4 linked regions of the Caenorhabditis elegans genome follow. The protein of the gene in region 3 purifies or fractionates together with the protein of the main gene of each other region. This does not show direct contact. Each region holds a gene or a part of one and is shown on either strand. Other genes may lie near its edges. The genes, in order: ant-1.1, F58F12.1, sgk-1 and vdac-1.

Region 1 (3,961 bases), on a different chromosome or scaffold from region 3:
TGCAAACTCCGTTCATGAAATCTTGAGAGTGAGAAACCACCAACAAGGTTCTTTTATACTGAGCGAGTTCCTCCTCAAGCCACACACAAGCTTCCAAATCCAAATGATTGGTCGGTTCGTCGAGAAGTAAGACTGACGGTTTCAGGAAAAGTGCACGAGCGAGAGCAATGCGCATTCTCCATCCTCCAGAAAAATCTTTACATTTTTTCATTTGCATAGTTTTTGTGAATCCAAGTCCGTGCAAAATTTCGGCAGCCTTCTTTTCAGCGAGAGATGCATCCATTTCATCCAGCCTTTCGTAAACATCCATCAGCTTGTCCTGACTTTCCTCATCAGTCTGACTAGCAAGCTGCTCGGCAAGATGTTCCAACTCTTTTCTGACTGAATCGACATCAACGACCGCTTGAAGAGCAGTTTTCTCTGAAGCAGGCATTTCACGGGATACGAGGTACATATCCACGGACTCTGGGATTGGCATTTCCTTGTTGTAGATTGCCTGAATGATGGTAGACTTTCCAGATCCGTTCAATCCGATGAGTCCGTAACGACGTCCACGGTTGAGTTCGAGTTTCGTGTCAACGACAATTTCACGACCGTGGAATGTAATCTGAATGAAAACAAAGTTACTTGTTGGAGTCGCCAATTAAAAACCACTTACCGTCAGGCTTTCTACTCTGTGATCAAGACCCTTTGGATCGGAAGTCAATGATCCGGCGACTGAACGAGCAGCAGCGTTTTCCAATTCGATTTTGGCCAAGGTGGCGGCGGCCTGATCGAGCTCCTCGTCTAAACAGCAGAGACTGTTGACGGACGGATGTTGAGATGACATGGCGGTTGGTGTTTCTACCTGGAAATGAGATGATTATTATTTGTTAAACAAAAAAAAACTAAAAATCAATTGCTCACCTTCTTTTTTCCTTTTCCTCCTTTGGCGGCAGCCTTCTTAGCGGCCTCGCGTGCTTTCTTCGCATCAGACGGCATTGTTGTCCAGCAGTGATGCGGATGGGGTACCCTAAATTTTTATTTATTTATCTCTCAAATACACGGAAAAAGCGACGGATAAAAAATACGAGAGCGAAAATTCACATAAACTAGACGAGAAATCCTCAAAAAAAGCAGGAAAAGAAATATTATTTCAACGAAGCGAAGGCCTTTGGCATGGCACAGTGATCCAAATGGTGAACGTAGTCAGCCATCTCCTGATGGCAGGTCTCCTCAGTGTTAGAACGAGAGTTGACACGATCGTTGCACTCGTCGAGAATACTCTTGAATTCGGTGACATGGTCGGCACATCGCTCACGGTATTGAGTAAGTTGATCGACGTCAGCCTCGAGTGGCTCTTCCTTGTGGCTCGACATACTGATACCCGAAAAAAATTCCATGATAGTGACAAGTCATTGGCTCGATGAGAAGAGAAATATGAAGAAAACTACTTTAAAGCGATTCGAAAAACCGGTCATACCAAACTCCCGTAGGCATAAATTAGCCACAATGCGATATCGATTTTTTTCGGAACATTGAGGTTACGAATAACCAGTTATCTACAGTGTAAATAAACAAAAAACACTTCAAGTACTGCTTATCACTAATACACTATTGTGTTTGCTTTGACATGGCTCATAATTTTCATAAAAACTGAAACTTTCGCAATTAAGTTACTTTCTTGGAGTTATGACCTATTTTTCGAAAATAAATCACGTTTTTTTAATAAAACAAAACGTGAAAAATTCAGGAATGAAGGAACGAACACGTTTAGAAAAGAAAAATACGAAAAATCGATAACAAAACTGATATTTAGGCTCAAAATATGCAAAAAATCCCAAAACTGGGCGGTCAGAGAAAACTAGTGTTTGAATCGCCGCGCCTGACGCACCGTACTTGCGAGCGTGGCGAGACCTGCAAAGTGCCTCACGGGCTGTGCGCGCACCCCGTTTCGACGGGCGGCCGTCTTCCCACTATTGCTTCTGGCAAGCACCGACCACCGAGGTCCTTCAATCTTGAATCATGTCCAAAGAAAAGTCCTTCGACACCAAAAAGTTCTTGATCGATCTCGCCTCAGGAGGTAAGCTTTTTCAGTTTTTATTGCAAAAATTTGGAGGATTTCTATAATTATTAATTTTGGGTTTTCATTCGTCAAATTTGTGATTTAATTAATTTTGTTTTCTTTTAGGTACCGCTGCTGCCGTCTCCAAGACCGCTGTTGCCCCAATTGAGCGTGTCAAGCTTCTCCTCCAGGTGTGTGATGAAACTTTTTTCCACTATAAATATGAAAAATTTTAGGTCCAAGATGCTTCCAAGGCTATCGCCGTTGACAAGCGTTACAAGGGAATCATGGATGTTCTCATCCGTGTCCCAAAGGAGCAAGGAGTTGCTGCCCTCTGGAGAGGAAACCTCGCTAACGTCATCCGGTACTTCCCAACTCAGGCCATGAACTTCGCCTTCAAGGACACATACAAGGCAATCTTCCTTGAGGGACTCGACAAAAAGAAGGACTTCTGGAAGTAAGTTAAACATTGCATTATTGTTTTTAGAAAATTTCACATTTGAAATTCAGGTTCTTCGCAGGAAACTTGGCTTCCGGAGGAGCTGCTGGAGCCACCTCCCTCTGCTTCGTCTACCCACTCGACTTTGCCCGTACCCGTCTTGCTGCTGATATTGGAAAGGCCAACGACCGTGAATTCAAGGGACTTGCTGACTGCCTTATCAAGATCGTGAAATCCGATGGACCAATCGGACTCTACAGAGGATTCTTCGTCTCCGTGCAAGGAATTATCATCTACCGTGCCGCATACTTCGGAATGTTCGATACCGCCAAGATGGTCTTCGCTTCTGATGGACAGAAACTCAACTTCTTCGCCGCTTGGGGAATTGCTCAAGTTGTCACAGTCGGATCTGGAATCCTTTCCTACCCATGGGACACTGTTCGTCGTCGTATGATGATGCAGTCTGGACGCAAGGATATCCTCTACAAAAACACCCTCGATTGCGCAAAGAAGATCATCCAAAACGAAGGAATGTCCGCTATGTTCAAGGGAGCCCTCTCCAACGTCTTCCGTGGAACCGGAGGAGCCCTCGTCTTGGCCATCTACGACGAAATCCAGAAGTTCCTTTAAATTTGATAACACTTTGATAATTTTTACCTTGTCATTGTCCAACAAAATCTCGTTATGTAGCTTGTTTTAGCAAAGTAGTTCACCTAGCTACTATGTTAAGTTTTCAAAAATAAAGCGAGCCACATAAAAAGTTTTAAATCCTCTATTAAAGTTTTCCCCTTTTCAAATTCTCATTCTTTCCCTCAACACCCCGATTGAACATTCGTTAGGATAGCCCCTTTATCTGGACTCGGTTTGACAATCTCGGTTATTGCACCTGTGTTTGCCGTTGATCTTTAAAATTACTCGAACAACAATAAAACGTTGTTGATTTTCCCTTCGTTCAATTATGTGCCACAGAAAGATTTCAAACCGTAGCCGTTTATTAACGATGAGATTTTGTTTCGCAAGCAATGAGGTTCATTTGGGGTCAGTGGGGGAAGTGAATGCCAGGGAAAGCGAGAAAACAATGTGAGTAGGAAAGTGCAATAGTGAATAGTTAGACGTCAGAAGTGTCTGCGAAGTACGCATGGCGTAGAGCTGCATCGGCATCGATTCTTCCTGCTGGATTGCAAACAAGAAGTTTCTGCAAATACTTCGAGTTTGAGTAAGTATAATTTTTATTGGAAAAAAGTTACCTGTAAAAGATCACGGCCACGTGAATTCAAATTAGGTACGATTTGGCTCCATGTAAGCGTTGGATGGTAGATTGGGTAGGGCTGAAAAATGGTATGTTATACTTGTGTGTTCCTATAATGCAATGGAATTCAATTAATTATTGTCAATCTTAAATCTAGAACAGTTGTCTCTGCTTCTCTAAATCTACTCAATACTCTGTTCTCTGTCCTGTCCCAGCCGCCCGTGATTGT
Region 2 (3,212 bases), on a different chromosome or scaffold from region 3:
ATTACAAGTGGAATGCTTACAATAGTATTGAGAAAATTTTTTACCTACCTAAAGGTTGCGTCTCTCTCTCCGAAACTTGTAGAAGAATGGCTGCTCACTCCAAACCGGAATTATCTGTTGTTTTGGATGCATAGTTTTTAAAAGGCAGGTCTTAAAAATCCAATCCCTAACTTCTCTGCATGCACAAACTTTAAAAGTAGCTACAGTAATATTTTCACATGATAACCTGCATTAGGAGTGTTAACCCTAACCACAAACTTTATCATTGACTATGTGTCTAGTTACAATGACCAAACAACTGTGTGTGTTTCTTTAATAGGATTCTAATAGAATGTTAAATATCTAATGGCGAATTCGTGATTTCAGGTGAATTTATTTAGTTCCGGACACAAGCCTAAACAGAAAGTTCACAAAAGTTAGTCATGATGATCTTTTATCTTCAGTTGCAAACTTTTTCTCCACGGTTTCATGATTTTGAAGCTTCTTTTTATTTTAGAGATATCAAAATGTTGTCGATCTACTTACTCACTGCACAAAAAGGTTATTATGTAGTTTAAAATAAATTTTCGTTGGGCAGAATGAGGGATGATATATTATTACTGTTTCCCGGTATCCACTTGATGAGCATGCGACCTCTCTGTCCAGAAGCCAAACTTTCAATAACATCTACAGTATGTACTGTATTTTGCAATCACTTATAAAAACTGAAAACTGAGAAGAACCATAAATCATACATTTCCCGCATGTTTCTACTCAATTGATAACCGGATTATCACATTTCTTTACTATTACTATGAAATGACACGCAGTTGCAACAAACTTCAAATATTTGATAAGTTTCAGTCAATTCAGCAGAAAACGCACCAACACACATGTTCTGCTTCAGGTGAAGGAAACACGTAAAAAGTCACGTGGCTTATTCAAATGTTCAAATGAGTCGTATTTTGCAAAGTGTATCGAAATGCTACGCAATGTAGTGAATAATATAGTAAGTTAAGTGAAACCTACAAATCATGTATACAATTTTCAAAAATTTCCATATATTCTTCCCTGCGTACAATTCGAGAAAGGAGCAATCTACTTTAATGGTTAAGATTTTTTCAATCAGTAGCTTCAATAGTGTACTCTATTGCTGTTTAGATACGTCTTCAAATAAAGTTTATTTAAAAAATATGTTTTCTCTATTGTAATAGTTCTATAATTTCAAAAATTATTCCAATTAGCTACATTTCAATAAATATCAAAAATTCTACGCTTCTTAGTTGAAAATCTCCAATTACATTCGCTGTTTCATATTTAACATACGTTTCATTAAATCTTCAGGCATTTTTTAACCTTCGCCAAGATGGCCTAGTTTTTCCCGATGGCCGCGGACTAGCCATTAGGGGATGCAAACACGCTCCGTTGGACGACGGGCGATCTCGATTTTTATTCACCTTTTTTTAACAAAAAATCTCTGTTTTCAACTGTTTTGGGAAGTTTTTTCAGTTAATTTTCGTTATTAAAAATTGAAAAAAGTATTCGACTATATGTCTACGATTTTTACTATTGTTTGTTCCCCAAATACAATCTATTCCTCCGATTTTTTCATTTATAATTCTTAATACACATATTGACCTTCTAAAAATCAATCAAACAATGTTATCATTTCAGAGGGTAAGATGTTGGCTCGTACTATCCAAAGATTCTCGGTTGTTGCCAAGCGCGGATACGCCGCTGCCGCTCCAGCTGCCAACGCCAACCCAGAGGAGCTTCGTCTCACTTTCGCCTCCCCAGACACCGTGAGTAAATATTATTTGAAAACATTATTTGAAAATCAATTTACAGGCTGTCTTCAGCAATGCTGTCGTCAAGCAGGTTGATGTGCCAACTTTGGCCGGTATGGTTGGTGTTCTTGCCAATCACGTCCCAACCATTGGAGTTTTGAAACCAGGAGTTGTCTCTGTCACCACAAATGAAGGTTTATTTTGCAAAAATAAATTGTATTATCACCAAAGAATTTTTCAGGAACAGTTCAACGCCTTTTCGTCTCTTCGGGAACCCTCTCCGTGAACATCGATGGATCATGCCAAGTTCTTGCTGAGGAGGTCCTGAAAGTTGAAGAAATTGATGAGTCTGCTGCCCGCGCCGAGCTTGATGCTGCCCAAAGAGCCTCCGGAGAAGGAAGCGAGGTTGCTCGTGCTGAAGCTCAAATTCGCGCTGAAGTAAGTGTTCGAAAAAGTTTTAAAAACCAAAAAAAAATACAAGAAACGAATATCGTTTGGTTTCAGCAAAGTTAAGCATTTCGTAATATTTTTATTATCAAAATGATTCTGTGCTTCGATACTAAAACTGAGACCAGGACATAAAGTTGAGGGTCATAAAAGTAGTTCTCTGAAATGAATATGTCTTTAAGTTTTGTTTCAAAACAAGGGAATTTTTCAGGTTGCTGAAGCATTGATCAAGGCCGCCACGAACCAGCAATAAGGAGTATGTTGAGAGTAGACCCTTTAACTTTGGTAAATTCCTTTTTAATTTGATCCTAGGCACATCGTCAATTTCTCTCGATGCTGCTTATAGGATATTATGTACGGCCCTCCCTTTTTTTGTTTTCATTGTTCCATCGTTTCCAATAAATTTCGAGACTTTTAGTTTTTGACTTTTATTTTTCCAATTTTCTGATTTAGTGATATTTATAGTAGAAATGAACATTCGATCCTTCATCCAAGTAATTATATCAAACAAGAGAAAATTCTGAAAATGTATGTAAACTGGAATACCAATTCCATGAGTTTAAAACAATTACAATCTACAGCAATACGTACCCTAAAATGAAATAGAATTAGTATTTCCTTATGTTTACCAAAAAACGGAAACCTCGGGTTCGATTCAATTCATGCGCTAATCGAAAATGGTTGTTCAAAAAGCGAAATTGAACGAAAAAAATCGTAAGTGATGATGCCATTCAGAAGAATCTGCAACATTTGAAGAGGAAACCCAAGGAGGATTCGGCTTTTTCAAAGTGATGAAAGTTGAGATACAAATTGGAATTGTCTTTTTTATCGACAAACCCACTTTAAATGCCATTTACAGACACGATGGGAGGATAGACAACAAACTTCAAAAATCATATGAACACTTTTCTGAATCAAAATAATTATTCACCAATTTTCCACCATTTTTAGTAAATAGCTAATATTAGTTTGAATATCAAACTTCTTTTATTAAAATTG
Region 3 (7,773 bases):
TCAGCTCATTTCATCTTAATATTTTATTTGGGCTTCTATTAAAATTAGACATTTTAATGAGATCAAAAACCGAAAAAGAAACTAATAAACTTTGCCGAGAAACAAAAGGAATCAAAAGACGTGGGCTTGAAAAATGAGGCTTTTTAAAAAGTTTTGGAAAGTTTGAAAACAGTTTTTAAAAAAATGAAAAAAATGTTTCAAATTTTTTCGCAGTCATTTTCGGTATATTGAGACTGTTCTTTTTGATTTTGAAAAGAAACCGTACAGAAAAAGGAAGTTTTTGAAGAAAAATGAAATTTTTGAAGACCTCTCATTACAAGATTTGGTCTTACTACATATTAGATGTCACTTTGAATAGAGCGTTGAACTAAGATTAGTTACTACAAATTTTTACATTCTTATTGGAACCAACCCTTCTCCCCAACTAGGGCTGGCATATTTGGGGTCCGGTTTTGGAATTTTAAAAAATTTTCAGAAAAAGTAGTTTTCACGGCGGCCGACAATTTCCGAGTTTGGCCACTCACTATACTTAATCATATACATAATTCGATAATGAGTGGCTAAACTCGGAAATTGTCGGCCGCCGTGAAAAACTACCTTCGGAAAATTCTCAAAATTCCAAAACCGGACGCGATGACCGGAAATATGCCAGTTCTATCCCCAACCATCCTTAATTATGCCAATTATTGTACATATATCTTACATGGATCAATTTGAATCTCCACGAACTCCTTTGAAATATTGGATGTATCCATTGCGTTTTTCACTTTCGGAATGAACGGAGCCTTAAGCTCACGATTCAGAAGCTTATCCCAATCAACCGGAAGGAAGAATGGATGATCACGAATGTCACGGAAATCATTGCGATGGCCCAGACGCTTTGAACGGTCTTTTTGCAAGAGCCCGGTGATGAGCTCACTGCATGGCACAGAGATGTTGTGCTTGAGACGAAGTGGCTGGTTGATGATCTTGTCGTACATCTCGTTATGATCTTTTGAGTAGAATGGAGGCTGAAATGATTGCTCTTTTTTGGGGGGGGGGGGAGCAGATTAAGAAAGTTATGTCAGGGAAATAAATCAAATCAGCAATTTTAGCTTGAACTATGTAATATTTTGTGTTCTGTGGTTTTGGGAAAATCACAGAACAAAAAGAAGAAGCAAAAGAAGAAGCAATTTTAAGTTTCTAGTCTGAATTACACATCAGGGCTGTACTAATAGAAAAAATATGGTAAATAGGTTATGTAAAACTTTTAGAGAAGGTCATTGGAACAAAAGTCGGCAGAGTTCTATTGCGCTAAGCTCTACGAAAAGCGGAAGAAAATTGCAGTTGTAACTACTAATTATAAAACTAGTCATCATATTTTTTAATAAACCAGCTATAATATTTCAGATTGTGTATTTCAAGTTTATGCCAACTCGGCAATCCTTACCAATCCAAAAATCATTTCATAGAGAACCGATCCCAAACACCACCAGTCAACAGTCTTGTCGTAAGGCTTTTTCAGAATAATTTCCGGGGCCAAGTACTCCGGCGTCCCACAAAATGTGGAAGTTGTCTTGCTTCCTTGCATATCTTCTTTACAGAGCCCAAAGTCGGTGAGCACCAAGTAACCTTTATCGTCCAACAGAAGGTTTTCAGGCTTCAAATCTCTGGAATGTAAATTTATATTTGCATATTGCCAAACCAATTTAGAGGTTTCTTTTTTTGAAAGCAAGTAAATCGCTACCTGTAGATAATGTTTTTCTCGTGAAGATAACCCAGAGCACATGCAATCTCGGCCGCGTAAAAACGACTTCTCGACTCGGAAAAATGTTTCTCGCGTTGGAGGTGAGAGAAAAGCTGAAATGCCACATTTTGAAAGTTTTATAAGTTTTCTATCGAGTCCATTCTTCCCTATATTAATCTAAACACATGGAATAGGTACCTCTCCTCCGTTCAAGTGATCGAGCACAAAATACAGCTTCTCCTTATTTTGGAACGAAAAGTGAAGTGAAACAAGGAAAGGGTGCTTAAAGTTGTTAATGAGCACATTTCTTTCTGCCATGACGTGTTTCACCTTAAAAACGTATTTGCTACTTATGTTCCAAAAACTTGTAACACTAATCAATACCTCGTTCTTTTTTCTGATATGTTCCTTGGACAGAATTTTCATGGCGTAGATTTTTTTGGTCTCCTTGTGCCTGACTTGGTAAACTCTTCCAAAGCTTCCTTTTCCGATAGTTGTCAGATAATCGAAATCATTGGCGGTGGCTCTGAAAATAAACTGCTAGAGGCAAAAAGTCTTGCAACGTATATATGAAACTCTGGTTTCTAAAATTTCCATAAAAATTATACTGTTGGTCGAAAAATTTTGAGTCGACAAAAATAGGTCAACATGAGATGGGAAAGCCAAAATTTTCGGAAAATAAGCAACACTTCCTATTTTGGAACGAATCAAAAATGGATGTCTTGTTTCAAAGATTGGAAAAATTTCAAAAACTTGGTAACGTAGCTATTTTAAGAGCAGATGAAACAAAATTAGAAGCTCATTGCAAACGTTCGGGGAAAAAAATCAAAAGTATTTAATATAGGTCTCCCATGAGGTCGTCGCGCAAGACGGATGTATGCGAATGTATAATGTTGCGCGGAACCCCGAACGTGTCGGCCGCTTCCAAACAACCATCTCTTCACACTACGTTGCGCACACACCAAGCTACTTATTTCACGACCAAGCTGCGGAACCCCGAACATGTCGGACGCTCCAAATAACTACATTTCGAACTTCATTGCAAACACACGGTGGCGTCGGGGTGAGGTCCGCATTTTGCGCATCACTCAGCTGGGAGCTCTACTTCAATATGTGCAACTTTGGCGATTTACCGCAAATCCTTATGGCCAAAACATACGTTTTCCTCTCACTTGGTCCGAGATCAACATTATTCTCATCATCATCCGGACTTTCGAGATGGAAGAACCGACGGACATCCTCACTGTAATCATTGTAATCAAAGAATTATAAACTATCCAACATAAATTAATCTCATTACCTTCTTAAATTATTATCAACAAGATGCTGACTAATCACAAGGATCCAAACACGTCTTTTCTCGTAGAACTTGCTGTCAGCTTGCAGGAACTTCTTTTTCGGCGCAGTGAAAATTGTAGCCGGGATCATATCCTTTTCCTGAAAGTCAATAAAAAGTTGGAAAATAAAAACTTGAAAAAACTGACAGTTGTAAAAAATCTTTCATATTCTTCAAACGTTTTTTGCATAATTGGGCCATTTCCGATACGGAGCGCGTAAACCTGAAAATATAATTTTATTTGAAAACTCGTCAAGTGTATTTAAAAAAATATTTCTGATTTGGGCATGTGTGACAAATTTGTAATTTTCTATTATAGTTACTCGCCGTGTAGTCTTCAGGAAAAATGTTTTATAATTGAAACTGAACGTGTAAACTTTAAAATATTTCTTGTGGAACACACAAATCTCAAAAGTGAACACGGTAAATCTATAAATTGCAAGTTGCCGGAATTGAAAACGTGCAAATTGCCGATTTGCCGAACTTGCCGGAAAAACGACAATTGCCAAAAATGTTTGGCAAATTGTGGTTTTGCACATTTTTAAAAAATTTCAGAATTTCAATTTTAATCGGAAAAATTGTACGCATGTTCCAACATATATTTTGAAAATTGAACAACTTCTATGTAAATAGCTAAAGAAAACGGGAAAAAGTTTCAAAAAGGGCCAATTTTCATGTGTTTCCGTCTTATAAAAATCCCTCTAGACATTTCCGGCAAACTTGATATCCGGCAGACGGAAAACCGACAATTTGCCAAAAAAGAAAATTTCCGGCAACTCGGCAAACCGGTAAATTGTCGGAATTGAAAATCTCCGGCAAATCGGGAAAACCGGCAATTTGACGATTTGCCGAATTTGTCGACAAAATTTTTTTCCGCCTATCCCTGCATCACATTATACTTTACGGACAAAAAATGAGATAATATTTATTTTTAAAACTCTTTAAATTAATCTTAATGCTCTCTAACTTACCACAGTTTTCTTATCATCTCCTATAATAACATTGCATGTCACCTCATCTTTCCTCACCATTCTCGACTCTGAAATATTCAAAATTAAATTATATTAAAACATTTATCGATATCAATAAAAAAATAAATTAATGAGCATAACTAAAACTCGTCAATAAAAATCGATTGCTATTTCCGGGAAGCAGATCATGACTTTTTCTTCGGCCTTATCAGTCCTTTGAGAGAGTTTCACTACACTTATCAATACTGCATAAGCACTTTTTGACATGAAACTTATGTTGAAAAGAAAATTGGAAAAGGTAGTATGGCTCTGGTTTCTCAACTCCATTAGAGGTAATGAAAGGGTAAAAAACTTCTAGAGAAGGAAAAAAAAATATCATCATCATAATTTCTTCCGGTTGATGCAGAAAGTGACGTCATTATTTGCATTTTGAAAGAATCATAGAAATCATAAAAAGAAGCATGCAAAGTAAATAGATTGTTAAGAGGTATATTTCAAGATGATATAGATACGTTAAAGAAAAAATTTAAACCATTAATAATTTATAAATTAATTTCAAAAATTAGATGAATGAAAATGTCTATTTTTTTATTTTTTCAAGCATAAAAATAATTATTTGAAACTCTCAAAATAGGCACAATGATAAAAAATAATTATTTTAATCCATTGCAAACCTTTTTTGTAGTTCTAATACTACACAAGTAAAACGTAATAAATTGAAAAAACGTATTCAGTTTTGATTTCAGAAAATGAAAGTTCAAATGAAAATTAAGCTGTCAAACAGAAATGCGTTATCAAATCATTACGTTTGACCAGTGGATTATTTTATGTCAGAATTGGAAAATTTGATTTTGAAATCATGAAGACTGAAGTATGTTTCAGAAAGAGTTCATTATATTATAATTTCTTGGAAAACCTAATGCATTGTATTTTCCTGTGAGCATTTATAGGTTTGTTAAAAAACATCTAAATTCATAATGAAAATTCAAAACTAGTAAGTTTATGTTTGAGTTAATGATCTATCTGCATTTTAAAGGTGAAGTAGCGCCAATGGGGATTTTGTCTAAATGCTCTTATTATGATCCAAAACGACAGAATATCATAATAAAAAACTGCAAAAATTTTAGACTTTTCATAATTTCCGGTCAAAGTTTTGGCAAATGGCCAAATTTCGAAAAATATGAGCTTGTGAGGAAATCCGAAGCATGGCCGCATGTTTAGACCCCTACAATGTTTAAATGTGAATAATTAAAACACAGTCACAGTATAAACAATGTAGAAAAACTTTTTTTTTTCGGACGACTTCCAAAATTTTGAGTAAAAACTAAATAATTGTCACTTTTTGAGAGTAAAAAAAAAATTTCAAAAATTTTTTGAATAGTTTTATTTTGATATTCCATTAATTTGAGACCATAGGCGTGGTTTTTGACAATTTCCCCCACTGGCGCTACTCCACATTTAAAGCACATTTTAAAAAAAATTTATGATAACTTCTCACAGGTGTAGTAGCGAAATTTGGATTAATTTTTTAATTGGGTCAAAATGACCCCAAAATATCGAATTTAATTTATTTTTATTTCTGAAAAAAATAAAAAATACAAAAAACTACATTTTTAACTTGTCAACCTATGTTTGTCATAGTTACCCAAAATTGATTTTTATTAAATTTTATTGAATGTTCTGTTTTTCTATGTATTTTTAATGAATATATTTATTGTTATGACTTTTTTCGTTGATTAAGTTGTTTTCAGGAGTAAGAAGTATTTTTTGCACCCATCAACTAATGTTTTCAGACCGCCGCAACTGTGACATGTTGGCAGAAATCTAGGTTTTATCTGGAAGAGCTAGGTTTTCAAAATTTTATCAGCCATTTAAAAAAATTGAGACTTTTAAGACATTTCAGATTTTGAATTTCTTAAAACAAATACAAACATTTCACAGAACCAGCCAGGTTTAATCTTTGACTCACCATTATAATACATGCTGCCCATTGTCACAGTAATGCTCTCGTATTTAGAATAACCGCCACCAGGTCGAATGTGGGTTTTCGATGTATCTTGTCTCGTGTTAACTGATTAGAATCGCTGGGTTGGACCTTGTCTTCTTATCACGGCTCACCGAGCCATTCGTCTGACTTTCTTATTTGCTCTTGATCACGTTATCACCTTTAATATTTCCCCACCTTACTTTTCCTATCAATGTTTCAAATGAAAAATGAACATTCCATATGGCAATTTTTTGATCTGTATAAAGTATTTATTGTTGAAAATGAGTAAGTTACCGGAGGAAAAAGAAACAAAAAAGTGAAAAAGTATATAGCAAACGGAAAAAATGCAAACAGGCAGGCAGCAAAGAGTTGGGGTTCAGATTTCTGGTACAAAGAGAAGAAAACAGTAAATAGCTCAAGCAAAAAGCTAGATTTAGGAAGATGTCGTTTGTTGGCTTTGACGTTGGATGTGTGTCGCGCGCTCCTGCAAAGAAAAAAATAACATTTTATTCTGCACGTAAATTTTTGGGGGTTGAATTACCTCTCCCTTATTGTTGTAAAGGATTGTTTGAACGTTGGCGCCAACACCGAATGTTTCGTCACCTTCGAAAATGAGCACTTCTGGAGGATTGGCGATTCCTTGTCCGCGGGCGAAGATCTGGAAATGTAGAAATTTGTCTTTACAGTGGTTTTTTTAATGTTAAAACACCTCACTTGAATTTCTTTTTTTTTTATGAAAAATGTTTTGTATGAAATTGATTGAAGGTGGAGTAGCGCCAGTCGGGAAATTGTTAAAAACCACTCCTTTGGTCCAAAAATGACCAAACATCTTGATAAAACTTTTCAAAAAAAATTTTTAAATTTTTTATTTACTGTCAAAAAGTGGCAATTACTCAGTTTTTGCCACTCATAATTTTGGAAGTCGATCAAAAAAAAAATTTTTTTTCGACATTTTTTATGTTTTAATTTTGTTTGTATTAAAACATTGTAGGGGTCGAAACATGCGACATTTCTTTGAATTTCCTCAAAAGCTAGTATTTTAAAATTTTTTGGGAATTTGCCAAAACTTTGACCGGAAATTATGAAAAATCTAAAAAAAATTTTGGAGTGTTTTATTATGATATTCGGTTGTTTTGGATCATTATAAGTGCATTTAGACAAAATCCCCACTGGCGCTACTCCACCTTTTAAATAAATAATTGCTTCTTTCAAATTCATTTCTTATTCAAACCTTATTTGAAAACATTTTTTTTCAAAGCTGACCTAAATAATCTCACATCTCATCTGTCCCTTTTATTGATTTCTGTGAACAACGTTTGTCTTCACAGTTTCCATCAATTTGTTTATCACTTTTTATTCCTTCTTTTTCTCCTACATACATCCCCAATCTTTCTTTTTCGAAGCAAAGTTACCCCCCCTTTAGTCATTACGGACGGATGACCTTGCCACACCCAAACGCAATCGCGCATTAGATTATCAATTCGACACACACACACAGAGACAACAACACATTTCATTCTGAGACACCAATTTGAAATGTTTTATACGCGACAGGTCCTGGGTAGCTAGGCTTGTTTCTGAAAGAAGTAGAAATTCGCAAACCTTGACAGATTGGAATGGGTGGAGGATGTAGTCGGATGGGAAGGTGAAGACGATCTCGCGTTTTCCGTCGATCTTTCTCTTAAGCTTCCAGTCTCCGAGTGGCTCTTCTTTGGCTCTGTGTGTGTTTTCCAAAATGACAAATTTGCCTTCT
Region 4 (3,903 bases), on a different chromosome or scaffold from region 3:
CTAGGGGATGCGTTTGCTGCTTCAATGGTTCAGCATTTATTGCAGGTTTGATAGAAAACTCGAACTTGGAGACAATTGTATATTTTAAGAAAAAGCTGGATCAAGCAGACGCTCGTCACGATTATAAGACTGAACTGAAAGGAGAAATTGAACTATTGAAGTCAGCTGCCACCAGTAGAAGACCATCATTCACAATGTCAGAAGCTTCTAAGGAGCTCTTCTTGACACACGCGAACACAGCTGGAAACTCAAGAATTGGATCACGAATTGGCTCTCGTCGTCCTTCATCCACCAACTTGCATCTTTCCTGGCGTAATAATAACATTGAACCACCATACACACCTCTGCCCAACGATGAAAACGTGTAGTTCCATGATCAATATTTACATTTTTTGTCCATGTCACTTTTCCATTCCAAAACAGAAAACGGTTATTCTCTCCTCTTTCCGCGAGAACCCATGGATTGTTTTGTACATATCATTTTTACTATTTTAAGCCACTGATGAAACTCAATAATTTATGTTTGTAAAATTTAGCAGAAAAGTAAATAGCGCATGACATTTCTTTTTTTTCGAAGTTTAGAGAACATAAATCGACATTGAAAAATCAACGGTTGAGGACTAAAAGAATTTTAAGAACGCTATTGATGGGAGAATGGAAGTGATCGGAAGATCTAGTTGGATGGATCGAATTCGAGTCCAAGTCCGAACTTGTGAGCATCATTGGCAGCAAGGTTGAATTGAGTGGAAAGTGTCAGCTTAAGAGCTGGAGACAAGGAGTGTGTGGCAGCAACGGCAACTTGGGAAGAGCTGTTGACCTTGGCGCGGACAGTAAGGTCACGGCTTGGAGCATACTTGGTGGCGAGAGCGTAGTCAGCTCCGTTTCCACCAACCTGAAAATTCACTTTAGTTTTGGTTCTAGGATTTTAAAAAGTTTACCTTCCATCCGAGTTGAGTTCCAACCTCGACGTTGGAGGCAACCTTGTGGTAAAGGGAAGCTCCGAAGTCGGTTGAGTTAATAACGAAAGAGTGGAGGGTGTATTGTGGAGTGGAGTGTCCGAAAGCCAAAGAAGTGGCTGCCAACTTATTCGATGAAGAATCGAAGGTGGCGGCAGCTCCGATGAGCCATCCGTCACGGGAGAAGACTCCGGCAGCGTTGATAACTGGAGCAGAGGTGACTCCAACATCAGCGGTAACCTGTAAATGGCTAATTTGTTTCATTTCACAAAGATGGATTTTTGAAATCTCTATTTCTACATTCAGAAAATCGAACCCTGAAACAATCATGCTTCCAGTCAAGCTTGAGACGAGCTTCGCCAATCTTATCACCCAAAATATGTACAAGACTACTCACTCTAGCAGTTGGGAGAGCCCAGTCGAGCTTCACTTTTCCGCTTCTCTTTCCGGCGTGTGGGGCATAAAGAGAATCGAGAGTGACCTTGAGTCCACGTCCGAATTGCTCATTAACTTCGATAACAGTTCCGAGCTGGTTCTCGGTGTTCCATTTCTCGGTCAAAGTGATTCCTGAAAACGAAACAACATGATTGATATCTCTCACACAATATGTTGTATTTTTGTTGAGCGGTCGCTAGACGTCACGTGGTGTTTTAGAGTACATACAATTGCATCACCTGCGTCACGAGGTTGTCCCCATCTAGCGGGTAGACAATAAGATGTTCAGACGAGCTTACCGTATTGTGGGATCTTGTACTTGACATCGAGATTTCCTCCAAGCTTTCCGGATCCGATATTGTGAGAAGCGGCTGATTTGAACTCAACCTCCTTGTTGTCTCCAGCTCTAGTGGTGGAGTCGATCTTGAGGAATCCAAAGTCTGGAAAAAAATTAATCAGGCGAATAAATGACCTAACACTATTCCTCTCTACAAAGATAAAATTGAAACTTACTGTATCCTTTGTTGAAGAGGTCCTTGGCGGACTTTCCAAGATCAGCGAAGGTTGGTGGGGCCATTTTCTAAACACAAAATATTTTTTGAAACATGCATTCTAGAGTTACACGAGAGAAGGAAAATAGGAAATTTTCGAAAAATGAAGGCTTTGAAAATGTTTGCATTGAGCAGTGCATACGAGAAAAACGGAAAGAAAGAGATAAACCAACTCAATGGCAGCAGTAGGAAGTCGATAAACAATGCGCCAGAAAACACAACATCGCCAAAAAATATATTCAGGGTTTCAGTTAAATGATTTACAATTATCTTATCGGGAAATTCAGAAGCAAACATTTGTAACATAAAACTCCGACGGTATCGAAAACATTGAATGCGATAGAGAAAGGACAGATCACGCCACAACAGCAAATTGAGAGTTCAAAGGCAAGCACATTGGCGCGGCGACCGCCCGTCTCGAGACATAGGACGAAAATGAGAGGCACAGAGACTGGTTACTGCAGCGCGACCGCTCCGCTTCCAAAAGTACTGGATTATTTTGGCAGTTTTTCAAAATTGAATGATGCACTGAGAAGAAAAGATTTGATGCAATGAAAGAAATATTGACTAACGAAACAAAATGAAATTAGCAAGAAATCTCAAATTTAGCGTTAAACCAGGAAATGGTACCGGAAATTGAGCACAAATCCAAATAGTTTCCGCATCACCTGGTTCAGCGAATTCAGTTCACTTCTGTCACTTGCATCTAACCTATTCGAAATGTACCGCTCGGAAGTCTCTAAGCCACAACTGGAAAATCCAAACCTAGTCGATAGAATAATTGTAATTATTCTGCCGAACTATTTCTATGAATATGAATCCGTACTGAAGCACATAACAAAAGAAAACTTCGGGATTATAGAGGTAAGTTGTATATATGAAAATTAAAGAAGAAGAAACTGATTATTTAGAAAACTGTGAAGCATTTTAAAACTGAAGAAGTCATGGAGTGGAAAAGTGCTGATCTTGAATCCCAAGATATCTGGAACTTATCAGACAGGCTAATAGACGGACCATGCATGTTACTATTGTGTCAACGAGCGAATGCTTTTATTGAGATGAAAGAAGTGGCCAAATATCACAATGTGATCGCTAAGAGGTGAGCAAAGACCAACAAACATCCGAAAATACTGAAAAACAATGGAAGAAAAACATTGCGCACAGTTGAAAATAACCGTTACCGTAGTCTCGTTTCGGTACGAAACCTTCACACTTTTGGAGGTTTTTCAAAAAATCTATCCGAAGAGTTTTAAAACTTCACAAGCGTTTAATTCAGAATGAGTTCAAGTGATGGAATATATTATTCAAAAACGACAATTGCCGCCTATCACGATATAATTTTCTTTTTCCCCAAGTGTAAGATTCCATAAAGTTAGAATTTTGACTCTCCCATAAAAATATATTCAGACATTGACGAAAGAGCAATGCTGAAACATGCCAAGGATTATCTCTCAGTAGAAGTATGGCCGAAACTGAGCCAGGGACTGGCTCGCGTAGCAGTTGAGAGACCGGATAATCCAATTGTTTGTTTTCGAATACACCATTTAGTAACATGATTTTTTTGACTCTTTCAGAAATGGCTCGCAGATTATCTACACCAACTACGCCAATAAGTTTATGTTTCTAAAAAATAATATAGTGTAAATACCCATAAACCAATAAAACAATAAATTTTTTAAAAATATGCATTAAAAATTAACTACAAAACTATGCGAAAGAAAGGGCAGTAGAACATATATTACATGTAATCAGATAACACACAGGTAGTGATAAAAACGGCTTTGGTCTCAAAAATATGTTTAAAAAGCAGGAGAATTAGTACTCTTCCTCCATTGCAATTCGTACAAAAAGAGATGCAGATGGGTCCAGAGTATGTTGATATCCGGTATTTAGTTGAATTTGCGAGAAACCTGTACGAAGACTCATAACAGGAATTGAGAATTCTCCAACAAAGTCGTTCG

The links.
Region 1: the proteins of sgk-1 (region 3) and ant-1.1 purify together in Caenorhabditis elegans (affinity purification with mass spectrometry, with the first as the bait; one study listed by BioGRID). This does not show direct contact.
Region 2: the proteins of sgk-1 (region 3) and F58F12.1 purify together in Caenorhabditis elegans (affinity purification with mass spectrometry, with the first as the bait; one study listed by BioGRID). This does not show direct contact.
Region 4: the proteins of sgk-1 (region 3) and vdac-1 purify together in Caenorhabditis elegans (affinity purification with western blotting; one study listed by BioGRID). This does not show direct contact.

The regions. Positions count from the first base shown.
Region 1 is NC_003281.10:13,461,227-13,465,187, forward strand, and holds ant-1.1 (ADP/ATP translocase), read left to right. Parts: upstream 1-1,936; 5' UTR 1,937-2,004; coding exon 2,005-2,062; intron 2,063-2,170; coding exon 2,171-2,235; intron 2,236-2,280; coding exon 2,281-2,501; intron 2,502-2,554; coding exon 2,555-3,113; 3' UTR 3,114-3,426; downstream 3,427-3,961. Other genes in the region: abcf-2 (ABC transporter domain-containing protein), read right to left, coding at 1-607, 659-847, 907-981; T27E9.2 (Cytochrome b-c1 complex subunit 6), read right to left, coding at 1,131-1,358; cdk-5 (Cyclin-dependent-like kinase 5), read right to left, coding at 3,592-3,678, 3,731-3,811.
Region 2 is NC_003280.10:6,381,992-6,385,203, forward strand, and holds F58F12.1 (ATP synthase subunit delta, mitochondrial), read left to right. Parts: upstream 1-1,653; 5' UTR 1,654-1,661; coding exon 1,662-1,781; intron 1,782-1,827; coding exon 1,828-1,960; intron 1,961-2,007; coding exon 2,008-2,204; intron 2,205-2,424; coding exon 2,425-2,466; 3' UTR 2,467-2,701; downstream 2,702-3,212. UniProt on the Caenorhabditis elegans protein: Mitochondrial membrane ATP synthase (F(1)F(0) ATP synthase or Complex V) produces ATP from ADP in the presence of a proton gradient across the membrane which is generated by electron transport complexes of the respiratory chain.
Region 3 is NC_003284.9:16,256,028-16,263,800, forward strand, and holds the start of sgk-1 (Serine/threonine-protein kinase sgk-1), read right to left. Parts: upstream 6,025-7,773; coding exon 6,003-6,024; intron 4,102-6,002; coding exon 4,034-4,101; intron 3,286-4,033; coding exon 3,211-3,285; intron 3,164-3,210; coding exon 3,027-3,163; intron 2,970-3,026; coding exon 2,886-2,969; intron 2,253-2,885; coding exon 2,111-2,252; intron 2,057-2,110; coding exon 1,925-2,056; intron 1,840-1,924; coding exon 1,727-1,839; intron 1,650-1,726; coding exon 1,430-1,649; intron 1,011-1,429; coding exon 704-1,010; intron 1-703. Other genes in the region: mua-6 (Intermediate filament protein ifa-2), read right to left, coding at 6,454-6,504, 6,562-6,678, 7,623-7,773. UniProt on the Caenorhabditis elegans protein: Acts downstream of PI3 kinase age-1 and kinase pdk-1 in the daf-2/insulin receptor-like transduction pathway. Essential role in regulating development, stress response, and longevity.
Region 4 is NC_003282.8:7,505,921-7,509,823, forward strand, and holds vdac-1 (putative voltage-dependent anion-selective channel), read right to left. Parts: upstream 1,972-3,903; 5' UTR 1,969-1,971; coding exon 1,905-1,968; intron 1,832-1,904; coding exon 1,691-1,831; intron 1,524-1,690; coding exon 1,354-1,523; intron 1,197-1,353; coding exon 939-1,196; intron 893-938; coding exon 674-892; 3' UTR 501-673; downstream 1-500. Other genes in the region: Putative sodium-dependent excitatory amino acid transporter glt-6, read left to right, coding at 1-45, 90-368; R05G6.5 (Uroporphyrinogen-III synthase), read left to right, coding at 2,663-2,806, 2,854-3,041, 3,219-3,298, 3,350-3,465, 3,517-3,555; plc-4 (Phosphoinositide phospholipase C), read right to left, coding at 3,758-3,903. UniProt on the Caenorhabditis elegans protein: Forms a channel through the cell membrane that allows diffusion of small hydrophilic molecules. Plays a role in maintaining mitochondrial morphology.